Linked DNA regions of Callithrix jacchus. The protein of the gene in region 4 purifies or fractionates together with the protein of the main gene of each other region. This does not show direct contact. Links are inferred from orthologs where the notes say so. Each region holds a gene or a part of one and is shown on either strand. Other genes may lie near its edges.

The links.
Region 1: the proteins of CXXC1 (region 4) and SETD1B purify together in Homo sapiens (affinity purification with mass spectrometry; 11 studies listed by BioGRID and IntAct, counting the BioPlex papers as one, with this or other methods). This does not show direct contact. The link is inferred for Callithrix jacchus from reciprocal best matches to the Homo sapiens genes CXXC1 and SETD1B.
Region 2: the proteins of CXXC1 (region 4) and BOD1L1 purify together in Homo sapiens (affinity purification with mass spectrometry; 5 studies listed by BioGRID and IntAct, counting the BioPlex papers as one, with this or other methods). This does not show direct contact. The link is inferred for Callithrix jacchus from reciprocal best matches to the Homo sapiens genes CXXC1 and BOD1L1.
Region 3: the proteins of CXXC1 (region 4) and WDR82 purify together in Homo sapiens (affinity purification with western blotting; 7 studies listed by BioGRID and IntAct, with this or other methods). This does not show direct contact. The link is inferred for Callithrix jacchus from reciprocal best matches to the Homo sapiens genes CXXC1 and WDR82.
Region 5: the proteins of CXXC1 (region 4) and SETD1A purify together in Homo sapiens (affinity purification with western blotting; 16 studies listed by BioGRID and IntAct, counting the BioPlex papers as one, with this or other methods). This does not show direct contact. The link is inferred for Callithrix jacchus from reciprocal best matches to the Homo sapiens genes CXXC1 and SETD1A.
Region 6: the proteins of CXXC1 (region 4) and OGT purify together in Homo sapiens (affinity purification with mass spectrometry; 3 studies listed by BioGRID and IntAct, with this or other methods). This does not show direct contact. The link is inferred for Callithrix jacchus from reciprocal best matches to the Homo sapiens genes CXXC1 and OGT.

What each region holds. Positions count from the first base shown.
Region 1 is NC_133510.1:125,007,928-125,012,566, reverse strand, and holds part of SETD1B (histone-lysine N-methyltransferase SETD1B), read right to left. Parts: intron 4,626-4,639; coding exon 4,355-4,625; intron 2,350-4,354; coding exon 2,237-2,349; intron 1,012-2,236; coding exon 1-1,011. UniProt on the Homo sapiens protein: Histone methyltransferase that catalyzes methyl group transfer from S-adenosyl-L-methionine to the epsilon-amino group of 'Lys-4' of histone H3 (H3K4) via a non-processive mechanism.
Region 2 is NC_133504.1:180,293,705-180,298,343, reverse strand, and holds part of BOD1L1 (biorientation of chromosomes in cell division protein 1-like 1), read right to left. Parts: coding exon 1-4,639. UniProt on the Homo sapiens protein: Component of the fork protection machinery required to protect stalled/damaged replication forks from uncontrolled DNA2-dependent resection.
Region 3 is NC_133516.1:34,801,541-34,806,977, reverse strand, and holds the start of WDR82 (WD repeat-containing protein 82), read left to right. Parts: upstream 1-2,108; 5' UTR 2,109-2,398; coding exon 2,399-2,559; intron 2,560-5,437. UniProt on the Homo sapiens protein: Regulatory component of the SET1/COMPASS complex implicated in the tethering of this complex to transcriptional start sites of active genes.
Region 4 is NC_133514.1:93,469,433-93,474,770, reverse strand, and holds the start of CXXC1 (CXXC-type zinc finger protein 1), read left to right. Parts: upstream 1-1,724; 5' UTR 1,725-1,833; coding exon 1,834-1,836; intron 1,837-2,566; coding exon 2,567-2,685; intron 2,686-2,785; coding exon 2,786-2,886; intron 2,887-3,163; coding exon 3,164-3,399; intron 3,400-3,492; coding exon 3,493-3,672; intron 3,673-4,058; coding exon 4,059-4,085; intron 4,086-4,162; coding exon 4,163-4,408; intron 4,409-4,570; coding exon 4,571-4,690; intron 4,691-4,845; coding exon 4,846-5,030; intron 5,031-5,312; coding exon 5,313-5,338. UniProt on the Homo sapiens protein: Transcriptional activator that exhibits a unique DNA binding specificity for CpG unmethylated motifs with a preference for CpGG.
Region 5 is NC_133513.1:30,506,923-30,511,561, reverse strand, and holds part of SETD1A (histone-lysine N-methyltransferase SETD1A), read right to left. Parts: intron 2,934-4,639; coding exon 1,881-2,933; intron 1,639-1,880; coding exon 1,466-1,638; intron 1,354-1,465; coding exon 1,243-1,353; intron 1,036-1,242; coding exon 916-1,035; intron 1-915. UniProt on the Homo sapiens protein: Histone methyltransferase that catalyzes methyl group transfer from S-adenosyl-L-methionine to the epsilon-amino group of 'Lys-4' of histone H3 (H3K4) via a non-processive mechanism.
Region 6 is NC_133524.1:68,862,641-68,866,713, forward strand, and holds the end of OGT (UDP-N-acetylglucosamine--peptide N-acetylglucosaminyltransferase 110 kDa subunit), read left to right. Parts: intron 1-910; coding exon 911-1,085; 3' UTR 1,086-3,214; downstream 3,215-4,073. UniProt on the Homo sapiens protein: Catalyzes the transfer of a single N-acetylglucosamine from UDP-GlcNAc to a serine or threonine residue in cytoplasmic and nuclear proteins resulting in their modification with a beta-linked N-acetylglucosamine (O-GlcNAc).

The DNA.
Region 1 (4,639 bases), on a different chromosome or scaffold from region 4:
GCCGCGGAAGCCGGGCTGGGAGTTGGTGCCGAAGGGGGCCAGCGGGGAGAGCTGGGAGGAGGAGGAGGAGATGGGGCTGCCCTCCATCTGCAGCTCAGTGTCTGAGTCGTGCACCGGCAGGAAGAGGAGTTTGGTGCGCTGCTCCTTCAGCAGCATCTCGATGCGTGAGTCCAGGCTGTCGTGGGGCTTCTCTGGCCCCGCAGGGGACGACTCCAGCGTGGGCGTGCCGGGGCTGTCACAGGGCTCAGGACTCCAGCCGAAGGTGGGCCGGCCGCCTAGTTCCATGCTGTTGGTGTCGGGGGGCGGCGGGCCAGGGGGCGTGCCTGGCTTCTCCTTGGCCAGAGGCTCAGCAGGTGGCAGGGGTGGGGGTGCTGGTGCCCTCCGGAACTCCCCACCGTCACGGGCCCCGAAGGCAGGGGTGGTGGTCGGCTCTTCTGCGGGTGGAGGGAAGTGGGCCACTGGGGTCTGATATGGAGAGAAAGCAGACTTGAATCCAGGAGCTGGGGTTGCTTGGGCGGGCGGTGGAGTGTGGGCAAATGTGGACGAATCCTGTGGTTGGGCCTTGAAGGGGGGGCCGCTGCTGCCCCCAGTGCCGCTGACTGCTCCAAATGGGAGGTCTGAGGAACCCCGGAAGGCGGCTGTGGCCCCAGCCACTGCAGTGACCGCGGGAGAGGTGTGGACATAATGATGTTCGTGGCGGCGGTTGTAGGCGTCCGTGAACTTGCTATCGTGGCGCCGGGCCTTGAAGGTCACTGTAGGGTCCTGGCTGAAGAGGTACGAGGGTGTGGGCTGGCGGCTGGAGTAGCTGGAGTCCTGTGAGAAGGGGGTGCCCAGGCGCGGCGTGAGCGGGGTGCCCTGTCCGTAGGAGTTGGGTGTGTCCAGGCGGCAGCTGGAGTAAGCCGTGTCCTGGGAAAACGGTGTCCCACCGCTATTGGGGGTGACAGAGGAGGAGCCGGAGCCACAGCCTGCAGACAGGCCTCCATCCTTGAGGCGCTTCAGGGCATCTGACAGCTAAGGAGAGAAAGAGAGGTGAGATCCCTTTCTCTTGGGGGGTGGGGCGGTGTGATTTCCCTTCTCACTCTGGCTGCATAAGGAATGGGAGTGGGGGATTGAGGAGCAATGTCAGGATGGTACTAACTTTTTTTCTAATCTTAGGGGTAACCAATTATGTTCAGGGAAACTTGAAGGTTTTTCCAAATTTCCCAGAGGAGCTAGAGAAGAGAGAAGACTATGACATCTTGGTTTAGGCTGGGATTTTCATTGCCTCTGGCTGTCAGAAATCAGACCTTCCAGGCAGGATTATGCCCAAGAACTATCTTGTGCCTGAGAGGATGGCCAAGGGCTTTGTTCTCCCAGCCGCCCAATGTTTTAGGATTTAAAGTGACAAACGGGTCAGGGCCAGGTGCGGTGGCTCACGCCTGTAATCCCAGCACTTTGGGAGTCCAAGGTGGGTGGATCGCTTGAGGTAAGGAGTTCAAGACCAACCTAGCCAACATGGTGAAGCCCCATCTCTACTAGAAATACAAAAATCAGCCACGTGTGGTGGCGTGTGCCTGTAATCCCAGCTACTCAGGAGGCTGAGGCATGAGAATCACTTGAGCCCAGGAGGCAGAGGTTGTAGTGAGCCGAGATCATGCCACTGCATTCTAGCCTGGGGACAGGGTGAGACTCTCTCAAAATAAAAAAATAAAAATAAAGTGATGAACAGGCCAGCGGCAGCTAAAGGCTCTTCAGTCCCGAGGTGACTGGATTGATGCCCAATGCCAGGGAGGAGCTGGCATGAGACTCGCCCCACACAAGAGTTGTCCCAAGTCCTGGGAGGCAGTGGTTTGGAAGGAGGCAGTCTTCCTCTGGAAGGTGGGGCATGAACTCCAGTTTCTGGGTTCGGGATAGTGGTGTACCCAGGACACGAGATACTAAGGACCCTGGAAGCAGCAATGTTTTGGCATCAACATGGAAAAGCGAGCCCGGGCAGGCTCTGGGTCTGTGGGAGTTGAAGCCTGTGCTGGGGACAGGGGAATGCCACAGGAAACAGGACCAATCCCAGGGAGCCCCACTGCAGAAAGGCTTGGGGGGCGTGGCCAGGCTTCACAACCTCCTAGGCCTTGGTCTCCAAAGCTGCAGAGAGAGAGGTGGGGTGGGCTGGAGGGGTCCCATCAGAGTTGGTGAGGCTTTCCAGAGGTGGGGGGCACATCAGAGCACTGGCAATGGGGCAGACTGACGGCCATAAACCCACCTGCAGGGTCTCATTCACAATTGGAGAGACAGCATCCAGCTCGCCCACTGGGAGGGTCTGCGGGGTGTAACGGCCAGTGACCAACAGTTCATAGAACCGCATTCGGGTTTCCCCTGTGGATGGGCAGGAAAGGGGTGACTCAGTGAGGTTCCAGGACGGGGCAGCCCCCACAGGGATTCCAACCTGCATGGCACCCTGGTGGGTCCCTTGGGCCTGAGACCCCAGGCCTGGCGAGGCTGTGTGACCCTGACCGAGTTCCCGCCCCCTCTGGAACTTACTCAGGGTCGCCACCTGTTCAACAAAGCTGCTGATCTACACCATTTTTCTGATCCTGAGATCCAGAAGCTAATGCCTCCTGGGGCTGAGACTCCTCTCAACTCAAACCCAAAATTGCTACCTGTGACACCAACCCCCACTCCATTACCTGGGCCATGGTGCCCAAAGAAAGAGCCAGGCCTATCCCCTTTCTGCTCAACAGCCAAGGGCTTGCAACAAGAGGACGGGAAGCCTGTGGCACAGAAGCCAGAGTTTGTAAATATCTGGGGCCAGGTGAGCAGTGGACTTTGCAATACACTCTAGGAGCACATTACCGTGAACGCCACAGCCCCTGACCAGGCTGAGGGCCTCAAGGCGGCCAGGGGCCTACCCTGAGCTCCAACCCTCCACCCCTCAGCAGACAGAGGCTTTTCTAGACCGGGCCCGGGGGTTATCGATATTTATAGAGTCTCAGAGGCAGCTGCTTACATATGCAAAAAAGACCCGTTCCTGGAGCTACACTTTACTGGTCTCTTTCTTGAAATACAAACTTAGCTAGCAGTCTCTGAGGGCTTTTGTGTTTTCTTTTTTTTCCCCAGAAATGAAATTTTGTTGAGACCTGGCTGCTGCTTAAAATGTGGGCCTGTGATGGGGGAGGGGGTGCCACATTCAATTCAGTTATGAGAGAAATCAGACTGCAGCCACCCAAGGTCCTCACTGCCCCCCATCCCCCAGAGACTGAGAGGCTGTGCCCTGAGAGGAGACACAGGACCAGGCACAGGCTCGGTGAGTGTGGGTGAAATAATCACCACCACCCCCGGCACCAGCTTAGAGTTTGGTCAATACATTTTAATCATTAAACGCAAAAAAAAAGAAAAGTTCTGATTTTCTTGCTTTGGGTTTGGCGTGTCCCGGTTGTCCCTGAACCCCCCCCACCCCTCACGAAATTCCTGGAAGCTGCACTTTTCCCCTCTCGGCATGGCTTCCCAAGGGACACTGGTGGGCTAGGGACCCAGTGTCTCCCCACAGGGCTGGCCCATCCTCAGATCACTTGAACCTTCTTTTACTGGTGGGAGCTTCCCTAGAGAGGCATCAGGCACACTTTGGGGAATGCCCTGGAGTCCTGCAAGCCCCATCGGTCCTGCAGGGGCCTCTGCAGACCCATAGGATGGGAGGTGTGGCCTCCCCAGCCAGCACCAGAGAGCACCCAGCTGATTCCAGTGCAGGGGAGGTGCTGCGGTCTCTTTAAGAGAGAGGAGGGAAGACACAGTGTCAACCCTGGAGCACCCTGAGCCTCCCGCCCCTCTCTTCCCAGCTCAATCAGGAACCTTATCAATGAAACAACACTCCCGGCCCCAGATTGGCTCCCACTTCCAAGGGGAAGGGGCAGCAAGGGAGGGAGGGGGACACCCTGAATCCTTAGAGGACTCTTTCTAGTTTCCAGACCTTCTCTTGACCCATTTAAAGGCATTCTAGTGGCACTCCCTCAGTCCCCCACAAGTAAACAAACTCTGCCTCCTCCCCTAACACAGGCAACACTGGGACTGTCTAAACCCAGGCCACCAGGGCTCAGAGAGGGGGCCCACCGGGGTGTCAGCGGTGGGGAAGCCTCCGGGTGGTCCCTAGGGGTGCGGTGGCCAAGGACCGGCACATTTGGTAAATTACAGACCGTCTCCTAGCAACAGACAACATATTTAGTTCCACTACTTTACCCTCAGGAGGGGGGGCAAGAAAATAAACAAGGTTTTCGGGGGAATCCCAAGGAAGAGTGGGGGGGGGGTCCTCCCCACCCTGCAGAAGTGGGCGGGGAGGTAAAGGGTCCAGCTGACAGGTATCCCCTCACTCCTCCCCTGCCGGGCTCACCTTTGGTGTCCAGCTCCACGTGGATAATGTTGCCCATGACGGAAGTGCTGTGCAAGTGCTGAACGGCCTCCTTGGCACCCCGGACGGTGGCAAAGACCACCTTGGCAATGCCGAGGTGCTTCTTGGTCTTGGGGTTGTACAAAATCTCCACCTCCTCCACCTCCCCATACTTCTTGCACATATCCCTTAGGAAGTTTTCTCGGATGTTGTCATTCAGCTTGGCAAATGTCACCTGCTTAGGAGGCACCGGGCCCACGTAGAACTCATCGATCTGGCAGGGGCCGA
Region 2 (4,639 bases), on a different chromosome or scaffold from region 4:
ACTGATAACCCATTGTGCCCCTCCTCAGTGCTCATGGCCATCACAGGACCCAGTTCTTTGCCTCCCCTGACTGGCCCAGGACACTGGCAGTTATTCTCAGCAATTAGGCTGGGCATGGGGACCTTGTGCTTGCTCACTTTTGTGGCTGATGGGTCACCATTTCCTTCTGGGTTGCCTGCAGTTGGCTGATTCTCTTCATGTCTGTTGATGCTGGCAGAAATTGGCACACATTCTGCTGTGCTGGTGGAGATGATGGCAGCGTCACTCAAGTCTTCCACTCTTGTGATGGTGAGCCGATCCTCATCCTGGAGGACAGCACCAATCATGACTGCTTCACGCCCTTCAGAGGTGCTTGTGGAAATCATGGCAGTGTCACCCATCTCTTCTGCTGGTGTGACTGAGGGGTGGCCTCCCTCCTGAGGGACAGCACTGGACACTGGGCCCTCACAGTCTTCCACTGAGCTCGTAGAGATGATAGCACTCCCGTCTTTTTCTTCCATGACTGTACCAGCTCGCTCACTTTCACTTTCAACAACCACACTGGAAACAGAATCCTCACACTCTTCTGCTATGCTAGTGGAAATGAGAGCACATTCATCCTTTTCCTCTTTGCTGGTGGAGGCAAGAGGACTTTCAGCTTCTGGGGGTGCACTGGGCATAGGCCCGTCAAAGTCGGCGGTGCTTATCAAGACTGGACCTGTAGTCCTTTCTTCCATTGCGGCAGCAACTGGCTGCAGACTTCCAGCACACTTCATGGTTGTTGCACTGGAGATAGGCACTTCGAACTCTTCCCCTATGCTTGTGGAAATCATAGCACACTCATCTTTCTCTTCTTTTCTGCTGGCAGTGAGCTGGCTGTCATCTTCTGAGACTGCACTGGGCATGGGGGCCTCAAATTCTTCTGTGCTTTCTCTGGTACCTTCCATATTTTCTTCAGTTCTCAGAGCAGTTGAGTGACCTCCTTCTACATCTATAATGGTGCTTATGTGAGGGGTGTAATCATTTGTGGTACTGGTGGAAATCATTAAGCCTTTGCCTTGACTTTTACCCCCAGCTAGGCTATTTTGGTTGGTAATATCATCACTGGCCGTAGTCGCCATGAGGCCAACACATTCTTCATTTTCTACAGAGGTGATGATGCCCTCATCTTCTTTTTCGCTTGGTGAAGTGTGGGCAACTTCACATTCTGGAACTTCACCAGATACAAGAACGTCATAACTACCCCCCACCAGGCCAGTGGAAATAGTGATATCTTCAACTTTTTCAAGCTGACTGGCACTCTGATCAGAAGCAGCACTAGTCATAGGTCCCTCACAACCTCCTGGAATTGGTGTCACTTCATCCTTTCCAGAGATTGCACTGGTCACACTGCTTTCCACAATGCCTTTTGCACTGGAGCAGATATCTGTGTCTTTACTTTCTTTCTCTGCACCACTCATGCTGTCAACATTATTTTCATTTGCATTCATGATGGCAGCTCCAGCCTCAGCTTCCACATGCTCTACCACAGTACCAATCTGACTGTCCCCTTCTGCACTTTCACAAACCAATACTCCTTCACTTTCTTCTATCCCTGTGCAAGTTGAAGCATGCCCAATTTCATTTCCTCTTCCAGTACTAGTCACAACACCCTCCCCTTCCTCATCTTCCTCTTTTGCACCTGTGCTAGTCACAATGCCTTCATCATCACAAGGACCAGCAGCAACTAATGGTACATTAGTGCATTCTTTGGCTACTGTGCTGTCCATTGCAATCTCTCCATTTTCTTCTGATTCAGAACTCATAGCAAAGCCTTCGCTGCTATCTTCTGAACCTGTGCAACTTGCTGGCCCTTCTCCGTCTTCTGTTATCCCTGTGCTGGTGACTGCACTCTCACCTTCTGTACCATCATTCACAGAACCATCTCCTTCTTGGCTGGCGCTTGTTCCTGGTGGTGCATCGTTATCTACCAGGACAACACCTGCACCTGTAACCATGTGTTCCTCCCGGGACTCTGCTCCTGTTACTGAGCAGATCACAAAGTTATCACTTCTGCCTTCTGCTCCTGTACATGTCACAGTGCCCTCTGTTTCTTTTTTGGGACCCATTCTCATATTTCCCCGGGAGCCATCCACCTCTTCACTGCTTATAGATCCGGCTCTTATTTCTGTCCCAGCACTTGTAACTGCTCCATCACTTTCAACCTCACTAATAAATGTAATAGTTCCTTCAACTATTTCTGAGTCTCTACTTGAAGAACCATCACATTTTTCTTCAGAGCCTGCACTGGTTACAGCATCATCCTTTTCCTCTGTCACAACACTATTTATATTGGCTTCGATTTTAATTGCATGAACAGCTAGTAGGTCTGCTGCTCTGTCCTCAGACTCAGCCACAGCACACTCCCCACTATCTCCTTCCTTAGTGCTTGTGAGGAAGGTTTCACTTTCAGCAAATCCTTCTGTGACAATAGCCCCACCTTCTTCGGCTGCAGCAAAAACAGTGCACTCACTGGCTTCCGCACCAACACGAGGAGGATTATTTCTGGAATGTATTCCTATTATGAGGCCTTCGTCTGCCTCAATGCTGGTGCAGGGCAAAGCCACCTCACTCTCTCTTATTTCCGAAGAAGTGGTTGTGGCAGCCCCAGCCTTCACTGGACTTAAGGTGACATCTTTGTCCTTCCCTTCTGTACTAGTGGCAACGGAAGTCTTTCCTGCTCTCCCAGGTCCAGTTGCCACATCCTCAGTTTGTCCATTCCTTTGCTGTAAAACAAAGGGTGCAGAGCCACTTCCAGCACTGGTGTCTACCTCACTGTTCTCATTACTTCTTTCAACATCAATTGATATGTCTTTTACTTTGCCTAGGCCTCTTTTATGCTTAAGTTGGACAGTTTCAGTGTATTTTTCTGTACTTATGCCTACAGCATGATCAATAGTAATGCTATCCTTCTTGTCATTCTCTACTGTTGCTTTAACTGTCTGCTTTAAGTTGGGCTCTGCATTTAAGTCACTTTCTTTCTTGGCTACGTCTACTAAGCCACCTTCTTTGGTAACATTCTCATTTTCCACAATCATGCCCATTAACTTGCTTCCAAGAGGCATGATTATCTTTCCTTGTCTGCCATCCAATAAAGTAGCCTGGTGACCTTCTGGAATGTGTCTTTTGCTAGAGATGCTTGCTTTTGCTGGTGTATCTACTGTGAAACTGTCACCACCTTCTTTGCTGTCACTTGTCTTAAGGACTTCTGATTCCTTAACAGTCAGACTTTGAATAGGGAGAGCAGAGTGATCCACAGGGGAGGTGCTGGCTGTGCCACCTTCAAAAACAGTTCTTTTGTCAAAGAGAGGAATTACATCAGGATCACAAGATTCTCTCAGAGGCACAACAGTCACTGAACTTAAGGATGGAGAGGAGTCTAAATTTGTGGAATGTTCAAGAACAACATCTCCTTGAGCAACATGTTCTTCAGTGGGTTTGGCTGCATTTTTCAAATTATTCTGTACCCTATCATTTTCTGATGGGACACTTGGTAACGTTCTGTGAACAGTTTCAGAATCTATATTCACGTCATTAGTTCCTCTATGAATGGGTTCTTTCTCTCCAGGGTTCAGTTTGGACACAGCACTCTGGAAATGCATTTTCTTGGTCAGGGTACTTCTGTGGTCAACATGCTTTTCAGAATTACTGTTAACTCCTGTTCCACGGCCTGACTTACAAGCTGGAGCTGTTGTTTTTGAATCTGCTGTGAAAGTTCTTAATTCATCCTTTAAAACTGTGGCAACCGTTTTTTGTTTCATATTTTCAGAGTCAATGTCTTGCTGAGAATTATTATTGCTATTGTCTGGGGTTTTAGATACTTCAGACACATTTTCAATGCCTGGCTCAGAATCAATTTCCATTGGCTCTTGTTCAGGGATCAATGTTGTATCACCACTCTTTTTTGGTCTCTGAAGGGAAGAACTGCTGGGAGTGCTCAAAGTATTTGCTGCTAATTTTTCTTCTCCTTTGGTCATTTCTTGTGATAAGCTTCCCCTCTTTTCACAAAACCTTTTACTTAATTTCTTTTCCATGACTGAACTGTTACCTCTGGCCTTTTCATGATTACTGTCAACTTCTTTACCATCCTTGTCATCTGATTTATTTTCTTCCTTCTTTTTTATGTCTTTACTACTATGTTTCAAGCTTCTGCTTTTGTGGCCATCTGACAACTTTCTCTCAAGCCTAGTGGAAGTGGAGTCTTTATCACTCTTATATTTCTCCTTTGCTAACGGTAACCTGGCTCTGTGACTAGAATCTTTCTGTGTACTATGTGCTGAAGAAGAAGCAGTCTCTAACACAGGTTCAACACCAGTTTCTTCAAAAGGTTTGTCTTCAACTTTAGACTTTCGCTGTTTTTCTGAGTCATTCTCTTCTGTGTTCTTCTCCTTGTCTGGTTTTGGAGTGGTTGACTGTTTTGTGACACCTTCTTGTAATTCTGTTTCTATAACTTTTAACTGTTTGCCTTGACTTTTTGATTTAGACTTCAACATAAGTTTCTCCTCTAACAAGCTCTTCGTTCGTCGTTTCTCCTTGTGAACAACCTCTTCTGGTTTCAAGTTACAATCCATGTTAGTGGGGTCCATGTCACACTTATCTTCTGAATAACTTTCACTTCTTC
Region 3 (5,437 bases), on a different chromosome or scaffold from region 4:
AAGCTGGGCGTGGTGGCAAGCACCTGTAATCCTAGCTACTCAGGGAGCTGAGGCAGGAGACTCACTTGAACCTAGAGTGGTGGAGGTGAAGTATTTGGATTGAGTATAAAATTAGCACCAAGACAAAAGTATGCCAAATTGCAGGGTCTTTATTGCCAGCGACCACAGAGGACTCACATCTCTCCAATCCGTGGCCCCAAAAGGAGGGTGACAAGACCCTTTTATGCCCATAAACCACCTCCGGGGTGAGCGTGTGGGGCGGGGTGGGGGTGAAGGGATTCAGACATTCTGAAGGCCAGGGGATTCCGTAAATCACCTCCCTGGCAGAGAGGAGGGTGCAGGTCTCTGGACATTCCAAGGGCTAGGGTTTACACATCGTCTGGGCAGTGGTGGAATCCACAGATCTTAGTTACCTATTACAAGTCACAGGAGCCAGGATGGAATTAACTTGGGCTGCTTATTCTGGTCATTACCGGTAAGCAAAGGCCAGCAATTCTGGCTGTCAGTGATAAGAAAAGGTAAGCAGGTAATGGAGACCATCCTGGTCAACATTAGCTGGGCATGGTGGCGCGTGCCTGTAACCAGCTACTCAGGAGGCTGAGGCAGGAGAATTGCCTGAACCCAGGAGGCGGAGGTTGCAGTGAGCCGAGATTGCGTCATTGCACTCCAGCCTGGGTAACAAGAGCGAAACTCCATCTCAAAAAAAAAAAAAAGAAAGAAAAGGTAAGCAGTTTTATTTACAGAAGCCAAGGTTAGCAGTCATTGTGAGGAGAATGGGGCAGCCGTTACAACTTATTTTTGAAAAACAGCTTTGTCTTTTCTAAAATGGTGTTGCTCAGGTTCCAGCTATAGCACAGAGGTTGCAGTGAGCTGAGATCATGCCATGGCACTCCAGTCTGGGTGACAAGAGTGAGACTCCATATCAAAAAACAAGAACACCAACAACAATCCGGTTTACTAACATGGAAAAATGTGTAAGATTTAACACTAAAAGGGGCGAGGGTTGCATCTATAAGGTTTATATGCATATATATGAAGAGAAGAAGAAATTCGAATTTAAAACTGTATCCTCTGGCTGGGAACAGTGGCTCATGCCTATAATTCCAGCACTTTGGGAGGCCCAGGCTGGCAGATCACCTTAGGTCGGGAGTTCGAGACCAGCCTGGCCAATATGACAAAACCCCATCTCTACTAAAAATACAAAAATTAGCTGGGTGTAGTGGTGAGAGCCTGTAGTCCCAGCTACTCAGGAGGCTGAGGCAGGAGAATCGTTTGTACCTGGGAGGTGGAGGTTGCAGTGAACTGAGATCTTGCCACTGCACTCACCTGGGGGACAGAGTGAGACTCCTTCTCAAAAAGAAAAGTTATGAAGCCGGGAGCAGTGGTTCATGCCTGTAATCCCAGCACTTTGGGAGGCTGAGGCTGTTGGATTACCTGAGGTCAGGAGTTCGAGACCAGTCTGACTGACATGGTGAAACCCCATCTCTACTAAAAATAAAAAAAAATTAGCTGGGCATGGTGGCACACGCCTGTAGTCCCAGCTACTCGGGAGGCTGAGGTCAGAGAATTGCTTGAACCCCGGAGGCAGAGGTTGCAGTGAGCGGAGATAAGACCAATACACTCCAGCCTAGGCGACAGAGCGAGACTCCGTCTCATTGAAAAAAAAAAATTGTGCACTCTATTGTATATCACAGCCCAATAAAATAGTAAAGAGGTCGAAGCTGTCTAAGCGGGCGCTGCGGTGGAGTAGCGGTCAAGACCGCCTGCGAGCGGTTCACCTGATTCACCCCCAAAACCGGCTTCCAGCCGCGTTCCCGACCCCAAAGCACCCCTTCCGCGCGGCTTGCGGTTGGGGCGCCTGTAGGGGACACCCGAGCCTTCGTAGGGGGATGTTGCAAGCCCGCGCAAGGGCCCCCGGCTCCCAGGCACTCGCCACCTTCCGACACCCTGGGGAAGGCCCTGCACGTCCCGACCCTTCCCTCCCAGCAGCCCGCCGAGCCACTACACTCGACAGCGGCAGCGCTGACGTCACCGCCCCGCCTCCCCGCCTCGCGCGGCTGTTCCCGCCCCGCCCCCTTTCCCGACGTGCGCCGCGGCTAAAGCTCCTCGCCCTCCGCTTCTGCCTGTCGCCCCAAGATGGCGGACACAATGAGCCGGCTACGCGCTAGTTGCCCCTGAGGTGGCTGTGAGGACCAAAGATCGGCGAGGCTCCACAGTCCAGGCAGAAGACTGTTGTCCAAGCAGGAGGAAGGGGAGGAGGCGGCCCAACTGTCGGCCGACTTCCCGCTAGCCGCCGGCGCGGCGCCGGCCCCGCCTGGTTGGCCCCTCGGCAGCCCGCCCGCTCGCCGCCGGGCCCCGCCCCGGCCCTGCGCCGCCGCTGCCTTCCCCTGCCGCCGCCATGAAGCTGACCGACAGCGTGCTGCGGAGCTTCCGCGTCGCTAAGGTGTTCCGCGAAAACTCGGACAAGATTAACTGCTTCGATTTCAGCCCCAACGGCGAGACGGTCATCTCGAGCAGCGACGACGACTCCATCGTGCTCTATGACTGCCAGGAGGGCAAGTGAGTGAGGCGGAGGCCCTGGGCCCGGGTCTCAGTCCCTCCCTCCCTCCCTCCGGTGGCCCAGCACTGGTCCCTCTGCCCGCCCTCCGTCTCGACTTCAGTCCCCGGTCTATTTTGCACGCGTTCCTGCCAGGGCCACCTTCACCCCGCAGCCGTCCAGGAGACCTTTTATTTTTTCTTCTGAAAAAAAAAAAAAAAATTGTGATAGTCATAATAATGGCATTATTATTTGTATGTCTAAGGTCTCCTTAAAGCGCTATGCATCGCTTGCCAAGCCCCACCTTGACCTTGACCTTTAAACGCCCGGTCTGCCCACCCCGGGCCCAGCAGGTAGCGTTTTCAGCTCCTCAGGTTCTCTAAGGTGCTGGTCGTCTCCGTCCTCGTCGCAGGACTGCAGGGGCGGCTCTCCTGACTCCTTCGGCAGCTCTCTCTTCTGCCCTCTCCGCTGTGACCTCGATTCCTCCCTGGCACTCCGCCCATCCCCTGCCCCTCAGCTTCTTGCGACCTTTCTGCCGTCAGGCCGCGTGGGTTGCAGTTCTTAGCTGTCAGGATTTATTTGTTGTGCCTCTTTGAGCCCCCTTGCATTTTCTTCCTGTTCCTAGGCTCTCTCTTACTCCGTCAGAATCGGTGCCCACGTTCTTAAGTGAACTTCTCAGCAGCATCTAAAACTTCCTTTTTGCCACATACAAACAAACTTGGTCGTCCCATCCTGACCTGAATGTGAGCTTCCGTTAAAACAAAGCAAGCATCGTAGAACATTTTTGGGTTTCCTTTCATCCTTTTTTAAAAATTATTATTAAATATGTTGGTCCACTTTGAATTCCAATTCTGACCATGACATTTCTATGTTGCCGCAAGTCATCTGGAGACCCACCACACCTGCATCTTTTCACAAAACCTAAGCACGGCACTTTGCCTTTTTCCCTGGGGGGTCCCTGGCAGCCCCCTCACCGCACGCCTGTGGACTTGCAGCTCCTTGGAGCCAAAACTAGCTTAGATTAAATTCGTTTTACCCTCAGCCCCCTTCCCCATGAAGGCTTGCTGATGTTTGGTTTAAATCGGTGGCCCCTGGTTTTGTCAGACTTGATTTTGTTACTTAGTAACACATCTTGTTTTTTTGAGATCTTGGGTTTTTTTCTACCTTCTCCAGCTGTTTCTTTTGCTTTTTTTTTTTTTCCCCCCCTGGTGTCTTTTGGAACGTGTCTTTTCATTTGTGAATTTGATTATCTGAGGTAACACTAGTTTGGACTGAGCTATAGTGGTATCCCCCCCCCACCCCCAGTTTTTTCCCACTGGGGCTGTGAAAAAGTGTTATGTAACTGGCTCTGGATCTGCTTGCAGTATGTGGCAGGGTGGTCTTGAGGAGGGAATTGTTAGCTGGGCAAATAGTTTGAGTCAGTGTTACTCATTTAGTAGATAGATTTCTGTCCTGGTCTGGTCACTTGAATCAGTTTAGAAGAGGAAGTAACATTTAAAGGTATGGTAGTAGCTGGAGTTGTGGAGTCCTGGAGTAGTAATTTGAAGCTGGCTTGCATGAAACGTTTAGTGCTTATGCACAGATTAGGACCTCTTCCCAGAATATGAGGATGGAGATCATATATCCTCATTTAAAGAAAATGAAGGTTGTGATAGCATTTCTTTGCAGTTTGTCCCCAAATTTGGCATAATTTCTCTTTGGGAAGTATAACCTTGACATGAGTCTGGTCTGGTTTTTTTTTGAGACAGTCTCCCTCTGTCGCCCAGGCTGGAGTGCAGTGGCATGATCTTGGCTTACTGAAACTATCGCCTACTGGATTCAAGCGATTCTCCTGCCTCAGCCTCCTGAATAGCTGGGATTACAGGTGTCCGCCACCATGGCCTGCTAATTTTTGTGTTTTTAGTAGAGATGGGTTTCACCTCATTGGCCAGGCTGGTCTTGAACTCCTGACCTCAGGTGATCCACCCTCCTCAGCCTTCCAAAGTGCTGGGATTACAGGCATGAGCCACTGTACCTGGCCAAGTCCTGTCTTGTTAAGAGTAAAATGCCAATTTTGTGACATCAGGCAGTTTATTCACTCATGTAGCATTTTTATGTAATTACAAACATAGAAATTTGCAAGTGTTTCAGAGAACTGCCATATGATTCAATAACTGGTTACATTTTCTGCATTTGCTTCATTACTGCATGTAAATATTTATATATACTGTGTGCCTCCCCCCAACCCTTTTTTTTTTTTTTTTTTTTTTGAGACGGAGGTTTGCTCTTTTTACCCAGGTTGGAGTGCAATGGCGCAATCTCGGCTCACCACAACCTCCGACTCCTGGGTTCAGGCAATTCTCCTGCCTCCTGAGTAGCTGCGATTACAGGCATGCGCCACCGTGCCCAGCTAATTTTTTGTATTTTTAGTAGAGACGGGGTTTCACCATGTTGACCAGGATGGTCTCGATCTCTTGACCTCGTGATCCACCCCCCTCGGCCTCCCAAAGTGCTGGGATTACAGGCGTGAGCCACCGCTCCTGGCCCCCAACCCTTAGAGTTGGAAATATCAAACCCCTTTATCCCTAAACACTTCGACATGGATTTTCTTTCCTTTTTATTTTTTCCTGAGACGGAGTCTCACTCTGTCACCCAGGCTGGAGTGCAGTGGCACAATCTTGGCTCACTGCAACCTCCACCTCCCAGGTTCAAGCAATTCTTCTGCCTCAGCCTCCTGAGTAGCTGGGATTATAGCACACCCAGCTAATTTTTGTGTTTTTAGTATAGAGAGAGGGTTTCACCATGTTGGTCAGGTTGGTCTCGAACTCCTGACCTCATGATCCGCCTGCCTCTGCCTCTGAAAGTGCTGGGATTACAGGCATGAGCCACTGCACCCAGCTCAACATGGATTTTCTAAGCACA
Region 4 (5,338 bases):
ATCCCATTATACAAAATAGAATGAGAGCTTCCCCTGGGAAATAGCAGAACAGTGAATTTTGTAAGGTGGGAGCAAGGAAAAAGAACAATTTTTTTTTAAAAAGCTGGTTAACATCAGGTTGCTTCAGGTTACGTTTTAAAAAAGGGTTAAAGCAGAGGGGATTGTCAAGCTAAAGTGGCTCATTTGGGGATTTAGCTATTATTCTGTATCTTTCTACTTATTTCTTGGAAGGTCAGATAAACAAATTAGTTTTGACTTGGTGGCATGAAAGTTTAGTGTGGGTGACTCCATTTTTGGTGGGGCCTCCTGCAGGAGCACTGTCCAAACCAATGACCTCCGACAAATTTTAACATGTCTTATAATATTTATAGTCAATTATAAAGTAATTCTACTTTTAGAATGTTATCTCTCAGGAGTGTCAACTAAGAAGAGGCAACAGACCAAGCTGCAAGGCAGGAGTTTATTGGGGCATAGGAACTGCAATTCAGGAGACCCAGATTCAGCTCAAAGTCAGATTGTGCTCCAAAGAGAGAAATGGGAGTAGGAGTTTTAAAGAAAAATAAAAAGGAAATTAAGGATGATTACACAAATTCTTTTAAAGGAATTATTATTGCTGGAGGCAGCTGGCCAGCATGAGTCTATAGTTCATTGGTTTTGTTCAGGAGACGCAGCACTGGTGAAATATAGCTGGTTTCCAGGACCGTGTGGTCGTTGTAGTTTGGACCAATTCAAAGGTTCGAGGCAAATTCCTGTTGTGTTTTAGTTTTGGTTTGTTTTCCTTTTTGCAAGTTTGCGGGGAGTCCTTAGAATGGCTTCCAGGCTCCATTTTACAGCTCTTAACCAGAGTGACATCGTTTTGTATATCATATTTCACAAGAGATAATCAGGAATGAGCATACCGATCTATGTTTAAGAATGTTCATTGCAACTTTATTTACAATAACATTTGAAAATGTTCTAAATGCTAAGCAACAAAGAAATGGGTAAGTAAACTGTGCTTAGGCTTATTGTGCAGCTTATAGAACTAAAATAAGATTTGATGTTAGTTTTAGAACTGTTTTTAAATAAAAATAAAATAAATAGAAGCTGAACCGTGCCAGGCCTGGCAGAAGAATGACAAGTGGGAGGAGTGAGATCCGGAAAGAGTGGTGGCAGGTGAAGTCGGAGACGACAGAAGAACTGGTTTCCTCCACCGCGGAAGGTATATAGCCTGTCGACGCCCCATTAACGCATGTGGATAGAGAAAGAGACTGAATGGAGGAATGAATAAGACTTGATCCAGGTAGTGTTTCGGGAGCGGCAGCTTTACCTGTGAATCTCTCTGACAAGCGGCCAGTGTACGTAATCAACCATCAAGATGGCGGCGCCCTTGTGGAATCCGCAATTAGGTCGCCGCCATGTGTCTTCTAGGACCGTACTAATTCGACCCACGTACGGAATCAGATTCCAAGATGACGGCATCTGTGAGGAAGTCACGCAGTAGATGCAGCCATGTTACCTGTACGTCGAGACAGTACCAGCAGCCACCGTACGGACTCTATTGACAAGGTGGCGGCCCCATCGCGAAAGCCAGGATTGAGCGCAGCCATGTTCCCGGCGATGGTATGGATCCGGCCACCATACGGATACGTAATCAAGATGGCGGCGCCTAATGGTTTGCGGCGGAGACGACTCACGGGGCCTGCGCAACAGGAGTACGCTGCCTGGGAGGCGTGACCAGAAGCGGAAGTAGTTGTGGGCGCCTTTGCAACCGCCTGGAACGCCGCTGAGGGGGTCTGTGTAGGTTCGCGGGTCGCGGCCGGGGTCCTGAAGGAGTGCGCCGGGAGCGGAGATATGGTGAGTACCGCGTCTAGTGAGGGATTCGGCGGCGGAGGTCAGTGGGGTTGGCAACCTCGGGGTCTGTCGGCCGACTAGGGGGTCTGTGGTGAGCGATAACCGGAGTCTGGACAGAACGGCGGGAGTCTATGGGCAGAATGATGAGCCATCTGGGAATTCTATGGTGAGCCACGGTGGGGGTCCGTAATAGAAGTTTAGTGGGGACTCCGGGTACCCGGTAGTTCCGTGGGAAACCATGATTGGGGGTTCTTTGGGCAGAGGGATAAGGGGGTTGTGAGGAATCACTTTGGGCGGTCTGTGGTGAGCCGTGCTGAGGAAGAGTCCCTGGCCGGGGATCCGTAGACAGCTGAGACTGGGGGTGCGGGTGCCGGGAGGGTCTGTGAAGTAAACAGGGAGGGATGCGTGGAGAACCGTGATGGGAAGTTCAAGGAGTGAGTTAGGCGGGGTCTGTGAGGCGCCACGATGTTGGGTCTCGATGACCCGCCAGTGAGTGTAGACAGAGGGAGCGGGTGCCTGTGGGTGTGTGATGGGAAGTATGAAGCCGAGTAATGGGATGTCAGGGGAAGGGATGGGAGTCAGTGGGGACTGTGATGGAGAGGTTTTTTGGGGGCCCCGATGGGAAATCTGCAGGCAGAGTGGGGATCCGTGCTGACCATGATGGAGCTGTAATGCTGGGATGAGCCGCCACGGTGGGGGCTGTTTAAAGAGCCGTAATGGGGGTGTCCCGCAGGAGGGTGATGGTTCAGACCCAGAGCCTCCAGATGCTGGGGAGGACAGCAAGTCGGAGAATGGGGAGAATGCGCCCATTTACTGCATCTGTCGCAAACCGGACATCAACTGCTTCATGATGTGAGCCCGGGAGAGGTGGGCGGGACTGACACTGGCAGGGTGGGGTAAGGTCCATTGGCTGTGCCCCTTACATATTCACCACCTGTCCCATCCTCTGCAGCGGGTGTGACAACTGCAATGAGTGGTTCCATGGGGACTGCATCCGGATCACTGAGAAGATGGCCAAGGCCATCCGGGAGTGGTACTGTCGGGAGTGCCGAGGTGAGGGCCATGCATGGACAAGGAAGTCAGGAGGGGCTTCAGAGGCGGTGGGGGAGCCACAGTGGGGGATAATGGGGAGTAGTAATACATGTCTGTGGTGAGCTGGAATGGGGGCTGCATTGTGAGTGGTAATAGAAGACCCCACGGGAAGGGGCAGCTCTGTCGTGTACAGAGGTGAATAGGTAAGTGGGACAGTAAGGGAGAAAAGGGGAATAAAGAGGTTTTGGAACCATTCATGCCCTCCATGCTCACCTTATCCCTACTCTCTGCCCCACAGAGAAGGACCCCAAGCTAGAGATTCGCTATCGGCACAAGAAGTCACGGGAGCGGGATGGCAATGAGCGGGATGGCAGCGAGCCCCGGGATGAGGGTGGAGGGCGCAAGAGGCCTGTCCCGGATCCAGACCTGCAGCGTCGGGCAGGGTCAGGGACAGGGGTTGGGGCCATGCTTGCTCGGGGCTCTGCTTCACCCCACAAATCCTCTCCGCAGCCCTTGGTGGCCACACCCAGCCAGGTGAGTGGCTGTATAAAGTGCGTGGATGTGTAAAGTGGTTCCATGTTGGCCCTGCCTGGGTCGGTGATTTCTTCTCTGGGCCCCCTCCTCCAGCAGCAGCAGCAGCAGCAGCAGCAGATCAAACGGTCAGCCCGCATGTGTGGTGAGTGCGAGGCATGTCGGCGCACTGAGGACTGTGGTCACTGTGATTTCTGTCGGGACATGAAAAAGTTTGGAGGCCCCAACAAGATCCGGCAGAAATGCCGGCTGCGCCAGTGCCAGCTGCGGGCCCGGGTGAGCATGGACAGAGCTGGGTAGGGTCAGGTGTGGGAGAGCTGGTGGGTCCATGCAGGGTTAGTTAAGTCTAGGCATGGGCCAGGTGGGATTGTGCCTGACTAGATAGGTGGAAAGAGGCCTGTCATGTCCAGATGAATGGGGCATGACAAGGTATGCTGGGCTGGCAGAAACCCCACTAACCCTGGGTGGACAGAGTGGGGCCAGGTGTTTCCAGTTGGTCATGCATGTCAGTGAGGATCAGGCAGGGCTGAGCATGTCCTGGTAATGAGGGATAGCGGGGAGGTATGTCTAGGGAGGCAAGGCCAGGCCAGGTGGGTGGGGCTAGGACAAGGCCACACTCCATCCACCTGGGGCTGACCTGGGCCTTCCTCCTGCCGGCACAGGAATCGTACAAGTACTTCCCTTCCTCGGTGAGTCCAGCCCCCCAGGGCAGGGCGGGGCATGTGGGCAGGGCGGTCAGGGCCAGTCCTGAGATTCTGCCCTGCAGCTCTCGCCAGTGACGCCCTCAGAGTCCCTGCCAAGGCCCCGTCGGCCACTGCCCACCCAACAGCAGCCACAGCCGTCACAGAAGTTAGGGCGCATCCGTGAAGATGAGGGGGCAGTGGCGTCATCAGCAGTCAAGGAGCCTCCTGAGGCTACAGCCACGCCTGAGCCACTCTCAGATGAGGACCTACCTCTGGATCCTGACCTGTATCAGGATTTCTGTGCAGGGGCCTTTGATGACCATGGCCTGGTGAGCAGACAGGCGCATCCCCTGGTGGAAGGGTGGAGGTGACAGAAGCAGAGAGTATCTCTAATGAGGAGACAGAGGGTATGGAAGGCTGATTTGGGACATGAGTAGGTGGTGGGGTTGTCATGAGGGGGGCAGGTGGGTCAGTGCATGCCCTGCTTGCAGCCCTGGATGAGCGACACAGAAGAGTCCCCATTCCTGGACCCCGCGCTTCGGAAGAGGGCAGTGAAAGTGAAGCATGTGAAGCGTCGGGAGAAGAAATCTGAGAAGAAGGTGACGGAGAGGGTAAAATGGATGTGGAAAGGCAGAGGGTGGGGATGAGGGAGAGGCAGAGCTCAGAGGCTTAATGGGGCAAGAGCCAGAAAGGGCTGGAATGGAGCAGGAGACCGGGGTCTGGGGCTGACTTTGACCACCCTGACCTGACCTGTCTTGCTCCACAGAAGGAGGAGCGGTACAAGCGGCATCGGCAGAAGCAGAAGCACAAGGATAAATGGAAACACCCAGAGAGGAACGATGCCAAGGACCCTGCGTCGCTGCCTCAGTGCCTGGGGCCTGGCTGTGTGCGCCCCGCCCAGCCCAGCTCCAAGTATTGCTCAGATGACTGTGGCATGAAGCTGGCAGCCAAGTGAGCCATTCCTGCGGGGTTTAAGGGAGTCAGGAAGTGCATGGTAGGGCCTGACCACAGCCTTCTGTTGTCTACCAGTCAATCAGCTATCCACCATTCAGTCACCAGCCACTACCCGCTCAACCCAACCACCTACCCACCCATCTGCCCATGTGTCCATTCATCCACCATTCTACTTGTTACCTATTTACTTCTCCATTTGCCATTTAGTCGTGCATCTATTTTGCCATCCTTACTTACTGATCACCTCACTCATTCTGTCGCTTGCCACCTTTCCTGTAGCCGCATCTACGAGATCCTCCCCCAGC
Region 5 (4,639 bases), on a different chromosome or scaffold from region 4:
CAACCATCTTGCACCCAAAACCACCTCTGCTGCCACTGCGTGGGTCAGGCCACCCTTGCCTTGGCCTGGATGCTGGTGTCAGCCTAGACAGGGAGCTCATTAACTGCAGGCCCCTCTTCTGCAGAAAGACGCTCTTCTGCAGAAGGCTCCCAAGCCCACACGGTCTGGGCTCCCTCTCCCCTCCAGGCACACGTCACTGCCACTGGCCCTGGTTTCTTATGAGCCCAGCTGACCTCCATGCCTTTGCAAGACAACCCTGCCTCCAGGCCTGTGCACATGGTATCCTGCACCCAGGCACGAACACCGCCCCTTACCTGGACCTGCGAGCTCCTTTCAGCTTTGCTCAAGCACCACGGTCTCAGGGAGGTCTTAGGCCCCCAGGTGTGTGCTCCCATAGCCCCACTTCCCCAGATCTCTTTAATACCAAATGCCATCCCTTAGGCATTTGTTTTTTCTAGAGACAGTCTCACCCTGTGGCCCAGGCTGGAGTGCAGTGGTGCAATCTTGGCTCACTGCAGCCTCCACCTCCTGAGCTCAAGCAATCCCCTCACCTCAGCCTCCCAGGTAGCTGGGACCACAGGGATGCACCATCACGCCCAGCTAGCTTTTGCATTTTCTGAGGACATGGGGTCTGGCCATGTTGCCCAGGCTGGAACACTGTCCTTTTGTGTGGATACTTGTTCAATGCCTGTCCTCCCCCTTCCCAGGCCCTTGAAAGGGAGAAGTGCCATCAGCTGTGCCTCGTGCTGGAACACTGGCACCTCCTGACTGCACCGGAGGGAGGCTGGTCTCACTGGTTAGGTCTCGGGGCTAGGGGGTGTGCGAGGCTTTAGCCAGGACAAATGGCATGTGTATGCGATCTGGTGCTGTCTTGCTGCATCAGGAGTTGGGGCGGGGCTGGGAGTTCAGCCTCACCTGACGGATGTTCTGACCCACGTATTCGATGACCATCTCATCAGCAGCAATGGGTTCCATGGCAAACAGACCCCACTCGTGGATGCGGCTCCTGCCAAATCGGAGCTTCTTCTTCCGGAACTGGGGGACAGAAAGGAGACTCAACTGCCGGACACCTCCTACACCTCAGCCCCTTTCTCTTCCCACAGAACTCCCAGGCAGAGAGTGTTCTGGCCGCTCACTACCCCCTCAGCACCCACAGGGACCACACAAGCCTGCTGAGCAGTCCCCTGGCCTCTGCCCCTTCCTGTCCTACTGCAACCCGCCCCTACTGCCACTGGGCCTCACCTTGAGCTGGTTGAGCTTTAGCAGGTCACTGTCCATGATGGCAGAGGTACCGATGGCGCTCAGCAGCCTCCGCTGCTCAGATCGGCGCTCGGACAGCACGCGGTTCGTCCCCTGTGAGAACAGCCAGGGAGGAGGTGAGCAGGGCAGGGAGGCTGAGTGGTGGGAGAAGCGCTGGAGGAGGATGCAGCACGTGATGGTGGGGCTGGGGCAAGGTTGGGCCCACCTGAGTGTCCACGCCCTCCAGCTGCCGGGCCGAGACTGGGCACACGTCCAGGTACTTGTCCTTCTCCTTCTTGCTGATGGGGTAGTAGCCTTCGCTGCGGGCTGAGCCTGTCTGGTGCTCCCGGGGCCCGTCCTGGGGCCGCCGCTTGCGTTTTGGGGTGGTTAGGTTGGTGAGTGCGAGGTGTTAAGGAAGAGACTGTCTCCTCTCTGGCCACAAGCATCCCAGCCTGAGGAGAGGTGGGGCCCACACCGTTGAGCACACCCAGGTGAGGGAGAGGGGAGGAAGCTCCAGCCCCATGGTTCCTGCCAGAAATGCTCTGGGAGGCAGAAAAGAGGCACCAGGAGGGGTCGGAGAAGGACCCATGCCCACAAGGCCCAAGGAAGGCCACCCGCCCTGGCGCCCATGCTCAGGATATTCGTGTGATGGACCCAGTGGGTGTCATTGAGCCAGTCAGCCCCGCTTGTCTGCTGCAGCAGCCGCTCGTACGTAAGCCGCAGGTAGCTCATGTCCTCTGAGTCCAGGCCCGAGTTCCAAATGTCATACAGGATGGTCATCTGTTCAAACTCGCTGCGAGGTTCGTAGGCGCGGGGTGGTGGTGGCGGGGGCAGAGGTGGAGGGCGGTGGCGCCGGGTGTGGGAGCGGAGGCTGCGCCTCCGGAGGGCGCCCTCCCCGTCGCTGCTGCTGCTGCTCTCGGAGGACTCCTCCTCATCTTCTCCCTCCTCCTCCTCTTCCTCCTCCTCCTCGCCCTCCTCCCGCTGCTGCTGCAGTTGCTGGGGCTTGGGCTCCTCCGCCTCAGCCACCACCACCTCAGGGGCCTCCAGGACCTCATCGGCTGGGGAACTGAAGAGGGCGGCGGGTGCGGGCACTGGCTCCGGGGGCCGTGGAGCTGGTGCTGGGGGCGTGGGTTTGACAGCCAGGGCATAGTTGTGCTCCAGGAGGATGTGGCTGAGCAGGGGCCCGGGGCGCTCAGCCTCGTCCAACGTCTCTGTGGCCTCCGAGTCATCAACGGCAGGCAGGGCAGGCAGCCCACGCCGGGAGGGAGTCAGGGCCAGGTCAGCCAGTACTGCCAGGTCTACCTCTGTCCCTGGCTCAGCCTCTTCTTCCTCAGTGGTGCGGCCTCGGCCTCCAGCCCGGCTCCGGCCTCCACGAGACACCTCCTCAGGCCAACTCTTAACCAGAGACGCGTGGTCCAGGGGCAGATTGCGGATGGTCCGCTCCATGCCCCGGGGGGCCTTGCGAGAGACTGGGCCGGGAGACTTGGCCTGCGGCAGCGTGGCTACAGGGGGCTCTGGAGCTGGCATCACCTCGGTGGCAGAGAAGGAGACAGTTTTCCGGCGTTTCTTAGGTGGGGGCAGAAGGGGAATGGGAGAAGAGGGGCGCTCCTCAGTGCGTGGGGCAGGGGCTAGGGGCCCAGCAGGTGGCTCTAGGGGAGGCGGGGGCACACTGGGGGGCTGCTCCTCAGCAGGGCCTGGGAAGGAAGCACACAGGAAAGGGAGGTCAGGGAGATCTAGGCTCAGCTGCCCTGGCCACCCATGACCACAGGCTGTGCGTTCTCCCTGGCTTCTGCCCAGGAACTTCGAGGGGTACACAGACACCACGGCCTCAGCCCAATGGATGGTGCTCAGCATTCCATCTTGGCCAGATGGACTCCCTTGATGGGAGGGGGTTTCCCACCAGCTCATTCCCACCACGACACGCGAAGGGGATGCTTGGAGCAGACAGACACCTTCTATGTCTTCTGGAGCCACAGCCCAATGGGGGATGCCAACACAACACAAGCCATGGACTCCACTTTCCTACCCAAACTGGCAGAAGAGCCCTGCACCCAGTCCCCAGCCATGTCCCATGCCAAGGATCCAGTCAGTCACATTTCAGCTAAAATATCCATTATCTCCACCATAAACAACATTCTCAGTTTAGCAAAGTGAACACAACACAACCTAAAAAGCAGCATCTTTGTATTAAAATATTTTATGTAACTTGCCTTCCTCCCCCTCCCCTACAGAACTGGGACCTGCCCTGTGGGGAGGGGCAGGAGACAGTCCTGCTAGAGAATCGAGGCTGGAGCAGAGATCACAGGATGCAGGTGGCTGGGGAGGGGACACACTGGCTCTGAGCTGGGGGTACTGCCTCCCCAGCCACCCCCAGGACAGGGAGTCCATCCTCCCTGGACCCCCATCCCTGGGAAAGCCTGAATGAGCCTTTCAGAGTCAGCCCAATGGATTTTTGTGCCTAACAGCAATCACACCTCTTACGTAGAGTAACTCATGTAATTCTCACAAGAGCCCAAAGAGGTTCTTATCTTTTTTTTTTTTTAAGATGGAGTCTTGCTCTGTGGCCCAGGCTGGAGTGCAATGGTGTAATCTTGGCTCACTGCAATCTCTGCCTCCCAGGTTCAAGCAATTCTCCTGCCTCAGCCTCCTGAGTAGCTGGGACTACAGGCACAGCCACCACACCCGGCTAATATTTGCATTTTTAGTAGAGACGGTTTCACCATGTTGGCTAGGATGACCTCCATCTCTTGACCTCATGATCCACCTGCCTCTGCCTCCCAAAGTGTTGGGATTACAGGTGTGAGCCACTGTGCCTGTCAAAGGTTCCTATCTTACAGACAGGGAATCTGAGGCACTAAGATGAGGTTACAGTTACCAGATGACAGAAGGAGCTCTGCCCCCAGGCCATGTGAGTTTAGCTTATGCTGTGAACTGTAGCCCAGACTCAGTGGCTTTACAGCTGGCTCCCCCACTCAGTGCCAACAGGGCCGCTGGCACCAGGTCTGGCCCTAGGGGCAGCAATCCGCCTGAGTCCACTGCACTCCCCACCCTGGCGACCTGAGCCAGGCCCTCAGCGGCTCCTTAGGCTCTGAACACCCGCTGGGGTCTCAGTCTGTGGCAGCAACCCACTCCAGGAAGCTAGCAAGGACCCAAATACACCCGGGCCTCCTCTCATCTTCCTCCCTACCATGCTGGGGCAGTGCCCCCCACATATCACCTTGCAATCCAGCCCACATGTCCTTGGGAAGCCTGCCCCAAAGGAGACCAGTCCCCTCCCAGTGCAGCTGTTGCACATACACTTCCCTCTGCAACTGTCCCAAAGGAAACCTGCCCACCCTTTTCATTTAGGAGACAACTTTTGGGGGCATCTGCCCACTCAATATGACTTCCACGGTCTTTC
Region 6 (4,073 bases), on a different chromosome or scaffold from region 4:
ATGTACTACAGTTTGTTTTCCTATTGACACATAGAACTTAAAAAAAGTAGAGTACATAGGTCTTTCTCTTTGGAGAGTAGCATTAATATGGACATGGTTGTATTGAGACCAACACATGTGTACAACCATTTTACTACTACTCTTACAACAAACATTAAAACAAGGTTGGGCATGGTGGCTCATGCCTATAAACTCAGTGCTTTGAGAGGCTGGGGCGGGAGGATTGCTTGAGCCCAGGAGTTCGAGACCAGCCTGGACAACATGGTGAGACCACCCCATCTTTACAAAAACGACAAAAATAGCTGAGTGTGGTGGTGCATGCCTATAGGCTCAGCTTTTCAGGAGGCTGAGGCAGGATGATTGTTTGAGCCAGGAGGTTGAGGCTGCAGTGAGCCATCACCGTTTCATTGTACTCCAGCCTGGGCAACAGAGTGAAACTATTTCAAAATTAAAAAGAAAATAAATTAAAAAATTAATAGATTTAAAAGTGTTATTGTTAGGTCAGAGGGTTATGAACATTTAAGGTTAATACATACATTGCTAAATTGATTACCAAAAGGTAAGCAGTTTATGTTCTGACAGTACATAGGAATAGTCATGTGCCATTGTCAATTCTTACTTTAAAGGTAGAAATGAGACGAAATGGAGAAGGCGTTGTATCCCTTGGATATACTTGTTTAGAAAAGAACTGAGTTTTTTCAGAGTACATGGAGGTGAGCTCATTTCAGTGTTAGCATTATGTAAGCTGTGACCCTTCCCATTTTCAGCATTGAGACAGCAGGAAGCCAGTCAGGAAATGAGATAGTGTAAAGTTTGGTCATGCATTTTTTGCCACAAAGGGGACTAGGTATTTATAGGGTGTGGTTCTGAGTTTCCGCTCTGATTGGTAAACTCTTTTTTTATTACCCAGCCTGAAGAAAATTCGTGGCAAAGTGTGGAAGCAAAGAATATCTAGCCCTCTGTTCAACACCAAACAATACACAATGGAACTAGAGCGGCTCTATCTACAGATGTGGGAGCATTATGCAGCTGGCAACAAACCTGACCACATGATTAAGCCTGTTGAAGTCACTGAGTCAGCGTAAAGAAAGACTGCACAGGAGAATTACCCCTATACCTGAGCCTCAGCCTTCTGGGGGAAAGGGAACTAGATAACATACTTCTTACTTGTCTGTACAGTACCTTGTTGCAGATGGGTGATATATAATGGTAATAGAATAGCACAGCCAGACTTGCTTCCTGCATGATAGGGAGAGACACAAGAGATAAGAGATGGGAAACTGCTGTTGTTCCACAAGGAATCTCCGTAGAATTTTGCAGCAACCAGATGATGCATAGGTCTGGAAAGTCTGATCTCCCTTGGTCTTCCATGGGATGGTTAGTGTGGAGGGGAGATATAGATTATCCAGCCGCTTTGCAATTCCATGGATTGATTCAATCTTCTGGATGAATTTTTTTCTTTATATTTTGGGTATTGGAACTTTTAAAAATGTTTGGTTTCAGGTATTTTTATTCATGTGAAGTGTATATGATTCTCTTGAGATAAGGTTTTAAGCTAAAATATTACTCCCTGTTTTAGTTTCTGAACTCTGACAGATCGACAGGGACTTTGCTGGTGTAGTCTTTTTATAGGTTTTATAAACCACTTGAGCCTATATCAGTCGTTTTAGTGTCTGACCTAATGTTTGGAGCTATCAGTGCTTTGTTGATTTAGATGATGACTCAAGATATTTTCTGGTCCATTTCCCATTTCCTTCTCTTCCCTGACCCCCACACCCCTACCCTTAAAATTTCTCCTGTAACTCAGCTAACAAAATCAAGTCTGATTCAAAACATCCTAGGGTGTTTCTCTTAAACACACCATCTGGTGCCAAATGAAGACTTTTAGGAGTGATTACTAATTATGAAGGTTACAGTTCTGGTACTGTCATTGATAATAATATAGATTTTTTTTTTTTGACTAATTTTGACCTATTTCACCAGTGTTTTACCCTTGACTGCCCCTTCTATGCTGCTTCCAAAAGTGATAGTGTGTGTTAAGATTTTTACCTTCCTTTCTAAATTTTTTTTTTAAGTGAGTCCTGTTCTTCCTATTTCTTTCAGCAGAAATGAAATCCCAGGTAAGTATAAGTATTCAAATCAGTAAGTCACAATTATCTCTGGTGCATTAAATAACTTTCATCAAGAAACAGGTTATAGGTAAAATCTCTGAAGGACCATCTGTGTATTCAAGTAACTATTTTTTAGAACTTGTAGGGTATTCTATAATAACTGTCTTCTGGACTTGGTCTTGAAGTCTGTACAGATTCAGCCTCAATAGTAGCAAACTGCACTGGTACTTGGTTTGGAGTACAAATTAGACTTACAGTCCTCCTGGAACTTGAGTTTTTGACATTAAAATCATAGGAATAATATTATGGGATCTTAACAAAGGGTTAAGGGTTTGAGGTTTAAACAGGCCAACATATGAATATATGTTTTGTTTTGCTGTTCTGCACTTATGCTATCCAGTCGCAGATAATTTTTTGTCTGCTAGTAGTACTCTAGATTATGTCTTTCCAAAGTGCTGAAGCTGTGCACCTATTCTGTAGTTGCAGCTGATGCCTGAATGTATCCTAGCTGACAAATTATTGATTAGTAAGAACTTGAATTTCTGAAAGATTCTTACTGTTAACCAAATTTTGAGCAAGGAGTCTTGAAGGTAATTCTGAACCAGAATTACATGTTAATAAACAATGTACCTTTTAACAATGTAAATCGCAGAATATCAGTGAAGGGATTTCTTAATTTATTTTTTACCTGATGATTGAAATATCAAAGGTTGCCAGCATGGTTGCAGATAAACTAATGTTTGAAATTCACCGAATTACTTAATGTGGAATAATAGGATAATATACTTCCAGTGCCCTCAAGGCTGTGACTTTACGGCCATTTTACATAGCACATCATTCCTCCTATAGGGATGAACTTTTTCCTGGCACGAAAAGTAACCGCTCTGGTTGAAGCTTTGCTTATTGTAACAGGCTTTTATTTCCAGGTAACATGTCTGTGGAAGACTTAATTCTGATTAGAGATATAGATATTACTGGAAACTAATTGTTTTTTTTCCTATTGTACTCTGCTTTATCAAAGAAGTAAAACATTTAAATCGCGCTACAGAAATTAAGATGTTGTCTTGCGATCCTTGAACAATAAATGAATGATTTCCCCTTAATATGGCTGATGTATTTTGTCTCCTGTTATATTGAGTGTTACCGAAGAATAGGGTCATCCAGTGATGAAACCTGTATTTGAACAGCTCCCAACAGTATTAAAGGACCAAATTTCCCTTCTTTAGCTATGATATTAGGAATTGTTTTCTCAGCCAGGTCTGGTGGAGGGTAGGGTTAGTTTATGATCCATTAAGAAGACAAAGCAGCCGGGTATGGTGGCTCACACCTGTAACCCCAGTACTTTGGGAGGCCATGGCAGGTGGATCACTTGAGGTCAGGAGTTCAAGATCAGCCTGGCTAACATGGTGAAACCCCATCTCTACCGAAAATACAAAAAATTAGCCGGGCATGGTGGCGCATACTTGTAATTCTAGCTACTCAGGAGGCTGAGACAGGAGAACCGCTTGAAACCCGGGAGGTGAAGGTTGCAGTGAGCCGACATTGTGCCACTGCACTCCAGCCTAGGCAACAGAGTGAGACTTCATCTCAAAAAAGGAAAAGAGAAAGGCTGTGATCACCAACGCACCCATTCATGCTTGTTCCTCTTTTGCTTATGACCTCTCTGCTTTTATTTATACTTGTTGTTTCAGTCTTCATGTGGACCATTCTTTTCTTGGCTCTTTGGGGGCAAAATTATTTTCCTTCTTGCTGTGTATAGTGGTCAAACTCTGCCACGAGCGTGAAGAAGGAAGATACCAGTGCATGAGGGGTCAGAACACACTGTTTGCCAGTTTTCTCAGAGATATAAGTGAGAGGGACAATGTTTTTCGGTAGCATTTTGCATAATTCCCAACTTCTGTTGGTTGTACCCTTAAAGCCCTAATGTGGATTGGTGTTTGTTTCCTAAAAGATTACTATGGG